2 linked regions of the Drosophila melanogaster genome follow. The protein of the gene in region 1 interacts with the protein of each later gene in a biochemical or structural test. Each region holds a gene or a part of one and is shown on either strand. Other genes may lie near its edges.

Region 1 (9,482 bases):
AGAGTATCTGCTGCTGACCAAGGAAAAACAGCATATGGTCAAGGGTAATATTTATCCGGTGCCGGATCCACGTTTCCCCTTCCTGGGAGTTCACTTTACGCCGCGAATGGACGGATCTATCTGGCTGGGACCAAATGCCGTTCTGGCTCTGAAACGCGAAGGTTACACGTAAGTCTTCTTAGAGCTCATATTTAAACTTGTCTGACACTTCACTTCTTCCAGCTGGGGTGACATTAATCTTTTCGAGCTTTTCGACGCCCTGCGCTATCCGGGCTTCGTAAAGATGGCGAGCAAGTACATCGGTTTCGGACTCAGCGAGATGTCCAAATCGTGGTTCATTAACCTGCAGATCAAGGCGTTGCAGAAGTACATCCCGGATATTACGGAGTACGATATCCAGCGTGGTCCCGCTGGAGTACGTGCCCAAGCAATGGATCTGGATGGCAATCTGGTGGACGATTTTGTTTTCGATCGCGGACAAGGATCGGGAGCGCTAGCCAAGCGAGTGCTTCACTGCAGAAACGCCCCATCGCCGGGCGCTACTAGTAGCTTGGCCATTGCCAAGATGATCGCAGACAAGATCGAGAATGAGTTCTCTATCGGCAAGTGATGCCTCTATCCCAAATAATGTAACCAAAGTCCAAAACTAAGTCCTATTTTCTGTTCTGCCTTTATGTCAGTAATGTCTGTACTGATTCGCCACTATCGCATTTCTTTTCGAAACTGTAATATTGATCTATTGTGTATAAAACAAAATTAAAACTTGTGTAGGTTTCTAAGATAGCCTTTAATTCAGTTCCAGTATATGTCGGTTTCTTCTTTGAGGTGAATCATCGTCCTTAATGCCCAACACCTTAATCTGCTTCTGTAATGATTTCTCCTCCAAGGCAGATTGTATCAGTTTTGTGCACTTTTTGTTTAAAATTTTCAGACCGTTTGCAGCATGCTGACGCATTTGAGGATCACAGGATTCATCCGCTTCAATCGCTTTTAAAAGGCGATAAATGGGGAGTAACATTTCCTGGTAATCCAGAAGGTTCTCCATGCCGTTTAATAGTTCAGCTAAGACCAGGACTGCTGCACGCTTAGAGGGAACATATCCTCCGGTGGTTAATTCGCTATTAACAAGTTGGAGTAACTCGTGGAAGAAGTTCTGCACTTGAAAGGCCAAAAGGCGACAAAGCTGGGCAAGATTGGCAAAGGCTGACATCCGGAATTCGTGAACAGGAGACCGGGAGCCGTACATGAAGCAGTTGAGAAGAACAGCCTTGTATCGAAAGCAAAGAGGACCTGGATGGGATTAGTATGAAAGTTTAGGAGTTATTCTTAGCTGTGTAGAACATTGCTTACCCAACTCCTGAGCGACTTTCAGAATAGCTTCACCCACTACGAGGCGGTAGTCTAAGTGAGCCGTCTCTGATAGGTACTCATCACTCAATTTGTCCAGCACATCGGACTCCATCACATGAACAAGCGACACAAAGAGCCGAACACAATTTAAGAAGGTGTAGGATTCCTTATCCTTGAGAGTGGTCAGGGCTAACGCTATGATAAGTTGACCCTGCGCTAAGGTAGCAGGATCTCTTTTTTTCAGCAAATCAATCATCATCTGAATTCCATACACTTGCATGTGGGATTGTTTTTCCTCTATCAAGGACCGAGCTCTTTGAAAAGGTTGTATTTTAACAGCCTCACTTGGTCGCCATGCGCCGTGAATTATTGTAAGCAATGATTTTACAGATTGCTGGATAAGAGGGTTGGAAGATCGAGTACCCAACAGGTGCAATTGTTCTTTCAGTTCCTTACAGGCCTCTGAAAGTTGAATATTCTCACTGCCCTCAAGAATTTCCTGCAAGAGGTTTAGAACGAGAAGTAGGATCTGATCCGTGGTATCTTGCTCTCTAGATCGGTGGACAAGCAAGTCTTTTAGTATATGTAGAAGCTCCTTGGTATGTTGTGATAGCTGAGCTCTTAATGGTTGGTGGGCTACCATTTGGTTTAAAGCAATGAGCAAATCTAGCTTCAGTTGATATTTGGAGTGCAGAAAGTCTTTGAGCTCTGCTTCTGATGAAATAAAATCTACGCTGGCTGAAGATTTATCATTTATCTGTTTAGCTATGAAGCCCAGAAGAGAGAGGAAAACTTTGCAGGTGAGGGAATGATGAGAGCTTGATGTGAGTAGACCGGGCAATATTCTGCCCATATCGTGATCTGCTAGATGATCTTTGTGAGCTACTTTAACCTGAATTTGAGTTGTGTTCATGGAAGGCAGGATTATAATGCGTGGGTTTAAACACTTCCAAGGAGGTTCCTTCTCAATTTCCCATTTAAACAGCTTCTGGAGTATCGCAGGTAATTCGTTTTTCATTTCTCTGTTGTCCAGACAACGCAAAATAATGGCAGAAATCTGCGATGACGCCGGTAATTCCATTGGAAGGCCATCGTAGAGTTGGAGCAGCAAAGGAAGGTAGGGAACGAGTAGATTACTGGGTAAGCAAGCTACGGTTGAAGAACAAAAGAGATGCTGCCATAAGAGAATGCGATTGCACAGTTCCTGGTGATCCATTAAGATAAGGCCATTAATAATGTCTTCTGGGTTACAAAGCGTTTCCCAGTGTTTGAATAATATTTCTTTTATCAGCTTTTGATTTGTATCACTTAAATCGTAAAGTCTTCTGAGCGATAGGACACCGGCGCACATTTTGTCCGCATTCTGCAGATAGAACTTACAATATTCTAGCACCTGGAGAACCATCTTCTCTTGCGCTAACTGAGAAAATCCTTTTCTGGCCACAATACTAGCCACAATTTCCGCATTTCTGGAAGAATTCACATTGGGATTTTGATGCAGGGCCTCAACAAGACTAGCAAATCCTTGGGGTAAGTGAAGCTTTCCTAAGAGTTGACGGTGCAATAATTGGGCCAGAGTTGGGCAGAGAGTCGTAGCTTTAAAAAGCAAGATGTTGCGAAAGAAATCTGCTTTGGATTCATATTGCCAGAGGTAGGCTATAGCCTTATCCAGCAGTGGAGAGTCTTGCTGCACACGTAGACTCACAATGGCCGCCAGTAGATCCCTTTGCACCAGCTCCATCGAGTTGGCTATGTGGTATTGTCGAATATGCAGTAGATTAATAAAGAACTGAATGCTTAGAAGCATCAATGAAAAGTTAGCTTTGATTTTCCCCTGAGCCTCACAAAAGATGGGCGACTTGTAGAAATCCTCATGTAGCTGGCATCGAAGCGAGTAATATGATAATTCTTGGGAAGCCTGGATACACAATTTCAGGTGCGCTACCGAAATAAGATCCTCCTTGGCGTCGCTGTGGAAATTAATGTTCCTCATGATCGAATGTAGCACATGTTGCAATCTTATTATATAGCATATAGTACGATCCGAATCGGGATCAATACTAGATTCGTGATCGTCTGTTAACTGATATTCCAGGCACAGCTCATGCAATTGCTGACCAATCTCGAGTTTAGCATATTTTTCCAAAATTCGCAGGTTGATTTCCAAGGCTTCGGCAGTCCCTGAGTTATTCGCCGTATTTGCTGTCGAAATATTAGTATTAGGGATACTACAATTATTATATGATGTTAACCAATTTACCTAGAGCTTTACTAAACCTTAAACTCTCTAGAAGAGCAAAGTACTTGGCCGTATTTATCATTGTTATCCCAGCAAACTACAATTTTGCGAATTTAGCGACCATTTGCTAGAGATGCTTGTTTACAATTGCACCAGCACAATCGATAACATATTGATAAGGGAAACACGATGTTGGCAGCATAGCTAATTAAAACTGCGCGATAGTTTAATGCAACTGTAGCTATATGTTTTATTGAAAGTAGAACCATATTATCTTTTTAAATTGGATCAAATTACAAAAAATTGTTATCATAAAACCTATTTTGTAAACGGGGATTTCCTTGTTTTCAGAATTTCGAGATTGCAACCAACTTATCTATATATCGATAGGCGGCTGCACCAGCCGCGGGTTGCGCATCTGACTGCAGCAAAGCGCCCTGGTCACACTGGCCCAACAACTCGAGAGCAGCAGGAAAATCGAACAACTTTCTTTTTCCACTGCATTGTGTGTGTGCATGCAAAAACACAAAGTGCGCAGAATAGCTTTATTCAGCTAGCCGATACGACTCGAAAGTGGATTAATTGGCCAGCGGCACCGACGCCCCGCCCACCGTCAGCCGCCCTCGCAAAATTAAAAATTGCCAAAAACACCTACGCGCAGGCAATTAAGACCGTGTTAGCTAGTGTGCGTGTGTGCTCGCGAGTGTGTGTGTGTGTGTTGTGCTGCTGGGGCAGTAAACATTTTCTAGTGAAAATCGGGGGAAAATGAAGAAAATCCTGTCTAAGTTCGAGCGCAATGAGAACTCTCGACTGGAGAATCCGCCCAACAGCAGCAGCTCGTCGTCCTCGAACGAGAAGAACAGCTTCGTGGGCAAGGTCTTCACAGTGGGACGCGTCACGGTCACCGTGGAGGATGTCCTGGCAGAAGGTAGACGACTATATATACACTCTTATATATGTGCTCCCATTCCCCTACCTACAACACGTCGCCCGCGATTATGCTTATCACCTGCCTGATTTACAGGTGGGCAGTAGCCTGCCGTCCGCTTTTCGGTCTCGCCCCTCGTCACAGATTAGATAAACCCCTTCAGCGCGAGAACTCCCAAATGTGGGGCGTACTCAAAGCGCTAGAGAGCATAAAAATCAGCTGCGTATCCTCCATAATTGGGGACACCACTTGTCGCATTTCCGATTAAATCCAAATAAATTACTCCCAATAATTTCTGTATAAGATGTTAAACTCAAAACAGCTAAAATCTGACTTTGATATATTATCTTTTAATAAAACTGTAAAACATTTTAAATTATTTCATTAATTATGAATACTAAATACTGGTTTGTAACCTAAATTCCAACTAATTGAACTGCAATTTTGCCCTTGGCATAGAACTACATATTTATGTCCATAACTCGGCTCTCTAATGGCGTGCAGATATTTCGTCCAAATTTATGTCAGTCTTTAAAGAGTTTATTTTTGCCAAAACCAGAAATGCCAGCATTTCTATTGTGACAAATGGGTGTCCGCGTTAGAGAAACCCGACTGTACAAACACAGTTACGGTTCTGGTTGGTTTTTCCATGGAATACCCATTGAATTCCCGTAGCCACTACACATGGCCACAAATCAATTGAATCAATTATGTTAATTTAGCCAATGAAGCGGCAAGACCAACACTCATCAGCCGACTGTCTCCGACAGTCTTCCGTTTTTCACCTTTCGCCGAGCTAAATGGCAAAGTTCGCCCCTAAGGAAATCGCCTGTGCTGTGTCCTTGTCCTTGAAATGCGGAGTGCTCCACTCCACATCATCCTGCAGTGCAAGTGCCTCCTTGTTGGCCTGGCACCAGTACCCTCCGCCCAACATTTGATCATCTAACGATTGCTCACCCACCGCCTGGCCAGCCATTCGCCACCTTTCCTTTAGCCATTACGTAGTGTTTTTTACTTTTTATACTTTTGGCAAGCGGACTCGATTCGTAATTTTGTTTTGCGCTGCGCTGGCGCCGCTGGCAATTAGTCAGCTGTTGTCGGGCATACCCTGTAATTAAAAAGGCGGAGCGTTTGACGAACACGGTTATTTGGTTAAAGTTATTGAATTAGTATAACAAATTATAAACTAAATTATATATTATTTATTAATTCATTTAATCCAGTAACGTAACTATTGGTATTTCATTTAAGAAAGAGAAAAAATAAATAGAGTCTTTTGCAGATGCTCAATGAATAAAATGCGCGTATAGCCAAGTTTAAACTGCTCGATATGCTGGATACTTCCAAAGTAACACTGTGCTTAATCACCTTCAATATTTACCTGCTTTCTTTGATTCGATTTTTGAGCAGCCAACAACAATTACAAATGACTAAGCGACAAACGGTTAACGAATGAAGCTTTCCCGCCTTAACCCCTCAGCCCCCACCCTTAACCGCTTACTGCCCACCTTGCAGTTGACGCCCCTTCAGACGTATTTTCTACCCTCGTTTGCGTTTCGAATTGCCTTCTCGCGTTTTCTCGCATCGCTACAATTGTGCATTGTTATTGTTGCTTTTCATACTATTATTACTGGATGTTGTTGCTGTACTTTTTGCCAATGTTGATTTGTTGCTGTTGCAACCTTCAGCATTGATTAACATTTGACGCCATAATTTCACAAAGTCGAGCAAAAATGGTTACATTTGCTGGTCCGCTATTCACTTCTCTCTATCGCCTACACAGGGAGAAATGGTGTGTGCATTTACAGCAAATGTTCCATAAATATTTTCAATATTAAAACATTCTCCTAATCGTTGCATCGTCTATGCATCTAATGTATTGAGATCATTTTTTTTTCTAATATCATTTCATTTTATATCTAATATATATTTTTATGTTTTTTTCTTAGTGACCACTGTTCCTATCTTTTTATTTTGCCGCCCCACCGCCTTCCCCCGCTGAGTATTGTTATTGTCGCATGTTATTGTTGTTATTTCTGTACGTGACCTTCAATAGTTTAGTTTATATTGCGTTGCCTTTTTATCGTACATTTTGAAGTGGCGTAAAGCGACAGGTGGAGAGGGCTGAAATGTGGGGGCATTCTACTTGAAATTCTATTTGCAATAAACTGAAATAAACCTCATGCAAATGGCCTGTTAGGCAAAACATGTGTAAATCGTTCCATGGCCAGACAGTAACTGCTATCACTCGAATTCGGGTACCCTCTACTATTTTAACACCACGGGGGGATATTTGTGAACGTGAAATGTTTATAGTAAAGAAATTCCATTATTATCACGTAGATATATGGCATAAATTATGTGGGAAGGAATGGCCAAAGATACGTGTGCTATAAAAATGTGACACATATTTCCTTTTAATAAACAAATTAGTTTATTAATTAGCTACTTCCTGCCATATAAAATAAAATATTCGTATATATGTATTATGAATATACAATAACAGGGTATTCATCGGGTTTAGCTTACTCGCAGTTTCCTCCCCCATTCAAATATGCTATGTTGTTTACAGCTGACAGCTGTTATGGATGTCTAGCCCGTCAACTTACCCCATGCTCTAATGCTCTGTTTTTCTCTTCCCCATCTCTTCAAAACTCACGCAGGTGGTTTCGCCATGGTCTTTTTGGCAAGGGGCAACGGCGGAGGCAGTTCCTCGGCGACCAAGTACGCCCTGAAGCGCATGTACGTCAACAATGAGCACGATCTGAACGTAGCCAAGCGGGAGATACAGATTGCGGTGAGTAAATAAATCGGGACAAACAAACCTAATCTAATAGGGCAATCACTTTCACTCCCCCAGAGCAACCTGAGTGGGCACAAAAACATCATTGGTTATGTGGACTCCAGCATCACGCCCACGGGAAACGGGGTGTGCGAGGTGCTACTCCTGATGCCCTATTGCAAGCATCACATGCTGGCCATGATGAATGCGAGGTAAACGAAGTGAATCTAAAAATGTAGTCCATTTGATTGCGGAATTCGAATGTAATCCAATGAAATTCGCCACAGATTGCACGTTGGCTTCACGGAGCCAGAGGTGCTCAACATCTTCTGTGATATTGCCGAGGCTGTCTCTCGATTGCACTATTGTCAGACTCCGATTATCCATCGGGATCTTAAGGTGGAGAACATTCTGCAAACGGACGCGGGCAACTTCGTACTCTGCGACTTCGGATCGGCAACGGCCAAGACGTTAAATCCTCAACAGCACGGAGTCACCGTGGTGCAGGAAGAGATCCAAAAGTACACCACTCTATCTTATCGGGCTCCCGAGATGATCGACCTGTACGGGGGCAAGAGCATAACCACAAAGGCGGACATCTGGGCACTGGGTTGCATGCTCTATAAGCTGTGCTTCTTTTCCTTGCCATTTGGGGAGAGCACTTTGGCTATCCAGAATGGACAGTTTTCCATTCCAGACTCCTCAAAGTACTCGAAGGGCATGCACCAACTGATTAAATATATGTTGGAACCCGATATGGAGAAGCGACCAAACATTTGGCAAGTTTGCGAGGTGGCCTTTCGACTGGCGGGCAAGGATAATCCCGTTCAGAATCTCCATGTGAGTGATGCATAATGTTTGTGTTCAGATTCCTGTATGATAATCTGTTTGCTTATTTTTAATCAGAAAACTCCCATTCCAAACTTCGACCTACTGGTAGTGCCTCCGTTTGAATCGGAAGCCAAGAGGATCAGTGCAGCGGCCTCCAAGGCGGCGAAGGCTCAGAATGTGTCAGTTGTGGAGGCGGGAACCAGTGTAGCTCCTCGGTCTCGTCCTAAGGGTTCCTCATCGGTACATGGAGGAAATCCATTGGGTCTCGGTTTGCCTCCCAGTCCCTCGCCAAGACAGAATATCACTTCTCCACAACCCCAACCTCAACCTGTGGTCGAGCAGTTCCAGGCCAACTTCCCAGCTATGCCACCTGCTGTTCCTCCACCTCCTCAAGCTGTTACTCCGGCAGCTCCTGCTGCCAGTAAACTCTTCGAGTCAAGTGGCTATCCAGATCCATTCAATGAGCCAGCTGCAGCAGTAATTCCTACTGAATTTCTACCAGCAGCAGAAGAACCTAACAAGGAGGAAGTGCCTCAGGACTTAAACGTCATTGCAGGCACGCCCACCAAGAGCATGTTGACACCGCCCAAGCCAAGCGGAGGAGGTGGTCATAGGCGTAACGTAAGCGACACCTCGGCCTTCAATAAGTAAGTTGCATACAAGAAAACAGAAGCTAATCTAAAATCAAGAATACACATTTTGATTCTACAAATTTTAATTCCTATCTTAGTTACCTGTTTAAGCACAAAAGTTGTGTCTTGTTATCGTTTTTAAAGTTTACTCGGCCAGAATCAATATAATTGCTTTCCCCCAAAGGTTTCAGCCTGAAAATTAAGATATATGGTTTCATAAATATTTAAATATTCTTGATGTTAGACATTTCCAAATGCGTTGGTCCTGCACGATCTGTATGTGTTCTGTGTTCTGCTCTTCTCTTGCTCTTTTACTCACTCTCTGCTTGTCTCTTTCTGTGAATTCCCGATCCTTAAGAGCTACAAGTGACCAGGATGAGGCCGATGAGCCACAGAGTCAATAGATTCATTGTAGCCTTAAGATCTCTTGCATTCCCGTACTTACTTTTCCTGCTTTGCTTGCTCTTTTTCCTTATTATTAATTTTCTTCCATCACTCGCTGATCATCTAATCATTCATTTGTTTTGTTGCGCTCCAGAACTTTTGCCAATGAGACAAGTCAGTTTCTGGCTCCGTTTAACAATAACTTGGCTGCCATGGGCGACGGTCAGCAGACTTTGGCTAGTGCTGCCTCGAATCCCGGGATATATGCATCTTCAACGGCAAACTCAGCCGCGGTATCCATTAGCGAATTAATGAAACCAGGACAAACGGCGGTGG
Region 2 (9,396 bases), 9.5 Mb from region 1:
GTGAGTTTGTGGAGTGGAGGTAGGTAGTATATGTACCATCCATACATCCATACATAATATACCTTATAAGAAGTGTTCTGTCCTGGCGAACACGAGACATGCAAGCGGGTCACAATTCGAACAACTTCGAAATAGTTTGCATCTGTCGTTTGAAACGAATGCAGCCCCTGCCGGCAGTTGTTGTTCGGCTTTCTGTCTCTTTCGCACCTTTTACCAGGATCCTGCCATATGGCTCGGTGCACGTGGCGAAGGATTCTCGAAGGATTCTCTGGTTAAGTGGGTACTCGGACTCGCGCACATGCCGCCGTCTGTTCTCAGCATAGTGACTTCGATTTGCTACGATTTCCGAATTTCCAGGTAAACGGAATCGTTTGGTTCGTGTCTCAACAGGACGATCGAAGATCCTTGTTATCCTTTGTTTGCTCGCCAGCCGGCAGATGCGACGGTAATTACATTCGACTTTAGCCACTTTTGTGAGCGTACGATTTTGTTTCTGCGAACCACGCTTACAAGCTTTCTGTTTACACTCATTATGCAAATAAATATTTCAATGACTCAACGCGCTGTGGCAAACTTAACAAAAGTTAACCGAATTTTTCGGGGAACCTGTTTCCGAGCCGTGCGACACGTTATAGCCATTAAAATATGCAATTCAATGAAGAAATGAAGACCAAAGGTGAGAAACACAGAGAAATTTTCAACAACCAATCATTCATCCAAGGCACATTTACCATTACGCATTCATAACTCATAAAGCGAGGGAAAATCGTAGAGGAAAATCACTGGGGAATACTAAGAACTAATTTAATATGCACAAGAATGTATAATGCGTTGAAAACAAATTCCTAAGACAATAGCCAAACCAAAGCTTATTTGAATTTATTCAATCCTTATACTGAATTTGTAATGACCCTGGAAACTTGATACAAATGCTTCGATGTGACAGAAAAATATATTAGATTACAAAACAAGATTTTTAAAGGCACTAGTAGTTTAATTTCCTAAGTATTTATCCAAATGTTGATCTCCAGCAAACGTCGTGTAATCAAAGTACACAAGATGTAATATTTTTCTTTCCCAGACAGAAGCAAACGTAAAACTGGCTAAAGAGCTCTTTTTTATCTGACAGTTTTAAAATGGGAAAGGGATTTTTCAAAATGTGACTTTGCGATAAGCAAAACAACAGGAGAATTTGTTTGCTTACAAGTTTTGTGGAAAGTTACGTGACATCACCAGCAACTATGTTTAGATAACTGCTAAGTTTAGACGATTATCCAACCGATTTATGGCGGCAAAGGTCGTCGCGGAGGCAAAGTGGTCCAAAATTCGAGGCGATGGAAAGTCAGCCAAGCCTGACGATTTTCCAAACGGTTGTCTCCCGCTATTTTCCAGTGGCATTCTCTGCTCTGATTGTCATAGTTTCGTCGTCAAAAGGGGGAAGGAGGAGGAGAGTCAAATCAATTTTATGGCGCACAAAAGTGTAACCACGTTAGTTTTCTCTGTTCCAATTGTCAACGCTCGTCTTCTGTCGACGCCAGGCAAATAGACATCACACAAAACAGCTGTTGGCCAATTGGTTTAGCAATTTCCGGGTGCCAGGCGCCCAAAAGTAGGCAGTGCAAATACCCAATGAAAATAATCGATAGGAAACTAAACAAACAACCCATATACTTGCCAAAAGAAGCCATCCTAGTGTTTTTTGTGGGGGCGCAGTAATACTGGCGCAAATAGTCCCCTATTTGCCTAATAAGCCAGGCGAACAGGTGTGTCACGGTATTTGGGTTACATATAAGAATTTGGCATAGGTAAATAAACGTTCTATTTCAATAGAATTTTATATCAGAGCTAAAGTAATTACATACACAATTTGACAAACTATAGTTTCTATATAAGATTAATCCTTTATCAGCGCACAACCAGCTGACAGACCGGAAATTGAACTGGCTCATTAAAGGCAATAAAAAAGGAGCTAGGAACGGAAATTCTCGTAATCATATCCAAGCATGCCCTTTGACATTCTTAAGGCGCTGCGGCTTTGGCCAACTTAGCCAAGCCAAGGCCAAGTTATTACCAAGTTGGCGTGTCGACTTAGTCGGGTCTTCGAGAGGCGAGAAAAGTTTTTGGCATTAATGCGAAATGTTTGCTGTTCAGCTTTACGGCTAGTTAGCTATTGGCAGGCAAGAAAAATGCCAAGTATAAACAAAAAGTTACAAACTCTCTAATACCCTTTAAGGTTCATAATTGTAATTTTTTGCAGACTTTCAAAGCAATTGCAAGTGGTTTTTATAAAAGAAATACAAGTGGGGACACCTAAAGGAATCCCCGTGTCTTCTAGGCCGATTTAATAGCGTTATTTTCTATTAAAATCTGCCTGTTAATCGACGCAGCATTTAAGTATCAACTTAATGACAAAACGTTTACATGCATAATTATCCAATTTTTTGCATTTTTAATTTCCTGCCTTAGATGTAGAATGCCAGGTGCCACATGCCCGCTGTGTCCCGTCTCCAGAGCTAAGTTAATGGCCCAGAAGTTGAAGTTCTAGCTGGCAGCCATGACTTGGAGTTAGACTTGGTCTTGGACTTGTTCCCGTGTTCTTGACTTGTCCAACGTCTCTCTTTGTTGGCAGTTGGCTGGCTGGCTGCTGCTGCTGTTGTTAATCATCGGCGTTGCAGCATAAAAATAGAAAGGAAATTCCATGAAATTAAAGTTTTATGCAGCCACAGCCGAGGCAGCGATCAAGTTGAAGTTGAAGTTGAGGTCTAACTCCTCGACTGAGTGTTGAACTTGCAGAGCGATGGGATGGAGCTCGAGGATGGGGCGCTGGAGCTTGGAGCTGAGAGCTGAGAGCTCGGTCTTAGCCAAACGTTTAGCGAAAGCCGCGTCTCGAAGAATGCAGTCGACTTGGCATAATCGAAAGGCATGTGAGAAAAGTTGGAGTCGGCTGGCTGCCAGCCAGCCACCAAACCGGTTCCATTCGACGCGGCTCCACCATCCCAGAGTTGGCTTAACTCAAGTCCAACTGCACCCAGGTAGCATTATGTTCTTACTTTTTTCCTCGGCTTGTTACCAGTTTTTTTTTTCGTTCGTGTTTCTGGCTTTTCTTGGAATGTTTCTGAATGGTTTTTGCTGGAGCTTTTTGCCTGAAGTTTTTATGAACTGCTGAGATTTATAATCTGACCAGGCTGCAAAGCATTGCTACCAAAAAAAAAAGAAAAAAGTGCAGCATAAATCAGGGAGCCCTTTTGGTGGAAACTCAAGATCTTGAAGAACATTCCGAGTAAATCAAGTTGAACAGCATAATTATGCAAAGCAAAAGTATCCCATAGTTTGCGGCTGCAAAAAACTCTCTTCTGGCGAAAGCGGGGGCCAAGTTGGCATTTAATTACACTGTTATTATAATATATTTTCACCCACTCTCGGTTGGTTTCGTTCTCAGCCGCCCCAAACCAATTCATTACTCATTTCAATGGGAAATTTTCCCCATTTTCCATTTTGCCTTTGCCACTTTTCTTTTTTTTCTTCGTTTTGTTTGTTATCGCAGTAATTTATGCAGTTGACAGTCAAATAATTTGGCACACAGTATACATTAAAATAAATTAACTTTACAAAAGAGCTGGGAGAAGAGTTTGTGGTAAGAATATGTGCATGCTTCGGCAGAAATTCATTGGATTTTAAACTGAAATGTGGGACTATATTTGAAATAGTCTAAATAGTCTTTATATACGATCGATTCGAAGAGTTGTAGTCATGCCAAATGATTCATCTTCGGAAACGTGAGAGACTGGAGACCAGTAGAATCCAGTCAATCGTAACTTTTTAGATATATATGTACGTATGTGCGTATGTATGTATGTGCGTTCATGTGATCCAGCCAAAATCAGCTAATTGCTAATTGTGTTTATATATTTCATTTGTTAACCCTCTCTCAACAATTGCTATGTTCAAGTGCAAACTGCAAAGATTTATTGAGTTTTTTAGCTGGGTAATTCATTCTAAATTACTGGTATCGCTATAACCTTAATGGATATACTCCCCCTGATTATTAAAATTAATGCCCCAAAACGTATTTTGAATACTTTAGCTTATTGCGAAGCAAAGTCTAGTATAGTGTTACATAGTTTGAACAGCTGTTTTTAGTTTTCTATACCAATGCATATTGAAGACGTCAAAAACTGGAATTATTACAAAAATGAATATTATGTTTTTACAAATGTCAAAGCAGCAACAACTAGCGTAAAGCTGTAAAAGAATTGCATATGTATATGCAAATCTGATTTTGCACCACAATAAACTCGTTTTGACTTGGCTTTAAATCCGAAGCTCAAGTTAAGCTCAACTTTGGCTGTTGTTACTGTTTTTTTTTTTTTTTTGGTTTTAAACATTTACCATATATATATCGGGATCGGTTTGTATTTGAGTTGCTTTTTTTGGTATATTCCAAAAAGCCGAGTTTTGTTGTCAGTCTGTTTTTGTTTTGATCACATTCGTATGTATAATTAATAAATAAATCCGGTTCGGGCCTTATATAACTTTCTTGCTCATTCAGTGGATTTTTGCCAACGTTTCGGTTTTAACTATTTATTAATTCCAAGAACACCTCGCACAGCACACAGCACACGGAATGTGGGGAAAATCGCGAAAAACCGAAATAACGACAACGCGACACCGATTAAAACGATCCCCGTGTTAAGAGCCCGGTGCCCGGTAAATGGATGGCTGGGATCGGCTTGGCCCAAAAGGCCTGGACTACTTAGGTGTTAACTTTTTTACTATGACCCCCCCGGAAATTGGAAAAAGGTTACACTATCCCTACGCGGACATTTGGACAACCGACGACGACAGTGGGCCGAAAGCGAATGGAAGCGGAGGGAAAACGGAACGCGTTTGTCCGGCAAGCGGTAAGCGGTTAGCTCGATGCGGCGGCTCAAATTGCTCTACTGTACTGGCTGACTCTGGCCGCACGCTCAGCGCTGTTTGAGTCGAGAGGAAAGAGTGCGAGCGTGCAAAGAGCGGAAGAGAGCGACAGCTGTTACAGGGTGTTTCGGCCTGTGTGTGTGTGCACTGAGAAAAATCGAACAAATTGGCCCTGATTTCAACTAAATGTGGTGTTAAGATCACTTTGAGGGAAGAGTGATCTTACTACTTTTCTATCGATTTGGAAAAGGTCGTCATCAAAGGGTATTGCCTTATTCTATTACGCGCTTTTAATACAACCTATTAAGCCATTATTATCATAGTGTTTTATTTTATTTATTATATTACAAGTTGTTAAGTCCTCTTAAAACTTTAAAGTGATTTTTTCAGTGCACCAGTACGTTTGTGGATTTGCTCAGTTCCATTGTGTTTATTTACTACCAACGACGACGTCGTTTTGCTTCTTCCATCTCACCTCCGCTCTGCTGCGTTTGTATTTGTTGTGATAATGATAAAACTGCGACGCGTTTCTGCAGCTTGTAGGTTTTCAAGAGTGGGAGTGAGATAGCAGAAGTTGAGCGAGCGAGAGTGGCGTTTAAGGTATCTCGGCCAGGTATAATCTCAGATGCGCTGCATTTAGAGATCGCGATTTGGTGACCGTGGCTTAAAAGATTTGCGGTTGGGATAAGTTGAGAAAATTCTTGGAAAACACGAGCTCAATTTTATTATTTAACTCTGGGAATTTCCCAAATGGGCCAGTGCTAAGATAATTACAAAGCCGGGTAGTTCAAAAAGGTCCTCTTATTGTTTTGTAATATCTCTGGCTCTCAGATTTATCGCTAACCCATACGCCTTGGATTTAAAGTTCGGAATTGTCTTTAGTCGTCTTTCTTTAGCAGCGCTCAAATTCTTGGAAACTTTGTAAAATAAATTATGAATTTTGCACGGGTGTAAAAATTACAAGTTTTAAGGATGTTATCTTTAAAAACTTGCGTAATAAAAATTACTAATCCCGAAAATTTTTTTGTCTTCGAAATCAGGATTTGAGATACCCCATTGAAGTGATAGAAGGGCATTCAAAACCAGTTGGTTTCGTTGGTTCTGCAGCTGCCAGTTTTTTCCACATGGAGTATGAAGAGCGAGTGGTTTGGTTTGAATGGAAATGATTATGGCACTCAAGAGAGTCATCAAAGAGAGTTACCAAAGACTTAGCTATTAACAAAATGCAAAAGATGGCTAGGTGGTTATGAAATCCCAACGGACATACAAAACAAATGAAAAGAATAAAAACTGATTAACTGAACAATAATCAAGGCTCGGTAATCAATGTATTGAACTTATCGATTTGAATTAGTTGCCCAACCTAAATTCCGTGACAACAATGGCAAAATGATCGATCGAAACCGTAGAACAAAAGAGCGCGCGATGCAAGGTCGTTCGCTCTTTAAGAGAAAATTGTACCCTAAGAGAAACATAGATAACTCCGAAAGATAAATACCCAAATGTGCGCGTGAGACAGTCATACATATAGATAATAAGAGAGTTTTCAGCAATGAAACGTGCGAAAAATTGCAATGCAGCAGCGACTTTAATCCAGGTAGCCCATAAAATCAGGTAGTAAAAAGAATGGTATCAAAACTATTGGGAGCAAACCATTGCTACCTACACATGGCACCCAATCGCGCCAACATTATCGCAATTTAAATGCAGAAAAAACAAAGTGCTGCAACTGATGAAAAAAGCAGACTTGCACTCAGAAAAAATGTAAATTCTTATTGCTATCATTTAATAATACAAATATTTCCAAATTTCATTAAAAGATGACATAAAATTTTCAAACTTTTTCGAGCTTGGGATAAGTTATTCAAAAAGTAATAAAATCAAAATTAACCATAATAAGTGCATACTTATGAATTGATTTACTCAAAACACGAGAAGATGTTAGTTATATAAAGCTTATGTCCATTATCATTTGACTCCATTACGTTAAAATTAAAGACGGTTATGCCTTTTTCCGTGTGTTAAATGTGTTAAAGCCATTACAGACATTACTCGACACTTTTAGATAAACCATAATGAAAACAGCTAGCACTGAATGAGGAGACCCCAGATCCCAGACAACCCACCCACCTCCCGTCGCAGACAAATAATTCCAGCTCCGCTGGTATGAACCGACAAAAGATAATGCCAGACAATGGGGGAAAGGGGAAAACGGAAGAAGCATAGGGAAGCATAGAAATAGGGAAATGGCCATAAGCTGAGAAATCAATGTCAGTCAATGGAGCTGCGGGGCAGACAAAAGCCACATGTGCAACCTAATCAAAATTTCAATCAAAATGCGCAAAATGCCGCAATGAAAGGCTCACAACAAATGGCAACAAATACGCTCAAACACAGTCTAATACGTTGGCATGAGTAATCCAAACCGAATCAATTCACTCGAATTGAACCCAATCTGGCCTGTAATTGCGATTAAGAAGCCAATTACTCATACAAATTGCTGGGTCAATTGTTAAGGATTTCCATTTGCAGACAAGAAGATTAACAAATCAATTGTTGGGCAATAATTGAAATAATTTTGCGACAATTCGAAGGGGGTGATGAATAATCGATTAACCCAATGTTTTGATAATCAAGATTCAAGGTAATTTAGTTTTTGTGATTTTTTAAAGGTTTGTATATTAACTGTGATGATTTAATTCCATTTTGGGTTTAGGAAAAATTGTTAAAAATATATTACGGAAAAAAACTTGTTTGTTGTTTCGTTCTCTCTCTCTCGTTGAAAAAAATATTTGAAATTGCTTACCTTGTATTAGTTTAAGGTGCCTTGAAAAAGCTGAAATGAAAAAAATATTCTTTATTATAAATAGAGTATTAAAGCAGTTATTAAAGTTATTATTTAAGCTGCTGTTTCCGTTACAAAATTTTAAAAATGTTTTTAATCTGGCAATGCTTGAACTCAAGTCTCTCTTAAAAGAAACTTAAGAGCCTGCTTACACCCAATGCATGCACATTCACACTTGGGCACTCAGCTGACAATGTCAGTGACGTTTATAAAAAAGTTCCCACGGTCATTAGGGTCATGACAGCTCTAACATATTTTGTCTCGTGTTCGCAATTTGTTTTTAATTTAAAACTGCATGTGTGTATGTCTATGTATGTGTTTGGCCAAGTAAATGTGTTCTTTTAGCCTATTGCTTATGAGCGTTTCTTGAGTACGTTCTTGAGACGTCGCCGAGCTGAGCCGCAAAACTTGAGTGGCTCGAGGGCTTAAAAGCTTTGTCGGGCAGGTGAAAGAGCTTTTTGTTAATGCTAAGCTCGGCTTGCGGTTGAATGAACTGAAGCTTAAAGTGATTTAAAGTTATTGCACTGAGGATATAAAGTATCACAAGGTATGTACGCTTATAGGAATTAATTGTGTTTAAAAAAGATTTTGTATATCAAATTCTTCTTCCTATTGCCATACATTTATTTTTAAAGATACAATTTAGTAAATAATACTACATACATACATATATGGAAAAAAACAAAAAACACCATTATTGTCACACTCATCATTACTCAAGTATATTATTTTAGGTTAAAGACATCATAAAATTAAAAATTAAATTCGTTTAATTGTAACCCTACTTATTTATCTTATGGATATTTTTTTTTTTTGCTTTGGCGGACTTTCTAACCAATGTTATTTTAAGCCGATAAAAAGTGGTTTACTTTGGCTGATTGCATCTCGGTTCTTTATCAATTTCGTCTCCCACAGTGCCAAATTGTAGGGGTCCTTAATTTTTCAGGGGTTGACAGCTAACCGAGTCCTAAAAAATTAAACTCACAAATTTCACGCCCAACCAATTAGCCTGGGGTTGCTCACGCCCTCTCAACCACCCTCTTTTCAAACTATATTTTCTGCCCCTAGCCCGCCCACTTTTCCCTGCCGATGCGAACTGAAATTTTCAAGTGTCCCCGGGATAAGGTTGCAGATGCAATTAAAAAGCATTTAACGGATTAGAGGCCATAAATAGAGGATTGCAATAAAAATATAGAATAAATACCAGCATTAGAGGACACCGAAACCTTGAAGGGTTGAGCATCGTGTGAACCAAACATGATTTTATTGGAATTTAATTTAATTTAATTAGGGCACAGCCAGTTGAGAATGCCAGTGAAAATATTTCAGACTAAGTTCGCCGCGAATAAATTCCGAGCACTTTTCTCGGATATTCCCATGGCTGCTAATTAATTTTCCGTTTCTGTTGAAGAGCTCAGGTATTTGTATGTAAGGTCATTAAGGCACAAAAGATTTATCCAATTGCTTTTGAGAAATATTAAGCAAGCTGACTTTCGCCCATTTGGTCGAAAGTAAAATGAAGTTACAGGGGGGTCCCTATTGGCCATAACTATAAATATATCAATTGTGGCTCAGCTCTCGCTTAGCCATCACGCATCCAATTTGTTGGCGCATCATCAACTTCATGGCTTCGC

The links.
Region 2: the proteins of Nak (region 1) and numb form a complex in vitro, tested with the Drosophila melanogaster proteins (3 studies listed by BioGRID).

Annotation. Positions count from the first base shown.
Region 1 is NT_033779.5:18,963,288-18,972,769, reverse strand, and holds the start of Nak (Numb-associated kinase), read left to right. Parts: upstream 1-4,025; 5' UTR 4,026-4,354; coding exon 4,355-4,517; intron 4,518-7,180; coding exon 7,181-7,314; intron 7,315-7,377; coding exon 7,378-7,511; intron 7,512-7,586; coding exon 7,587-8,139; intron 8,140-8,205; coding exon 8,206-8,777; intron 8,778-9,300; coding exon 9,301-9,482. Other genes in the region: L2HGDH (L-2-hydroxyglutarate dehydrogenase), read left to right, coding at 1-168, 223-610; Tango6 (transport and golgi organization 6), read right to left, coding at 788-1,290, 1,351-3,552, 3,611-3,671.
Region 2 is NT_033779.5:9,445,375-9,454,770, reverse strand, and holds the start of numb (numb), read right to left. Parts: upstream 4,942-9,396; 5' UTR 4,390-4,941; intron 4,176-4,389; 5' UTR 4,151-4,175; intron 1-4,150.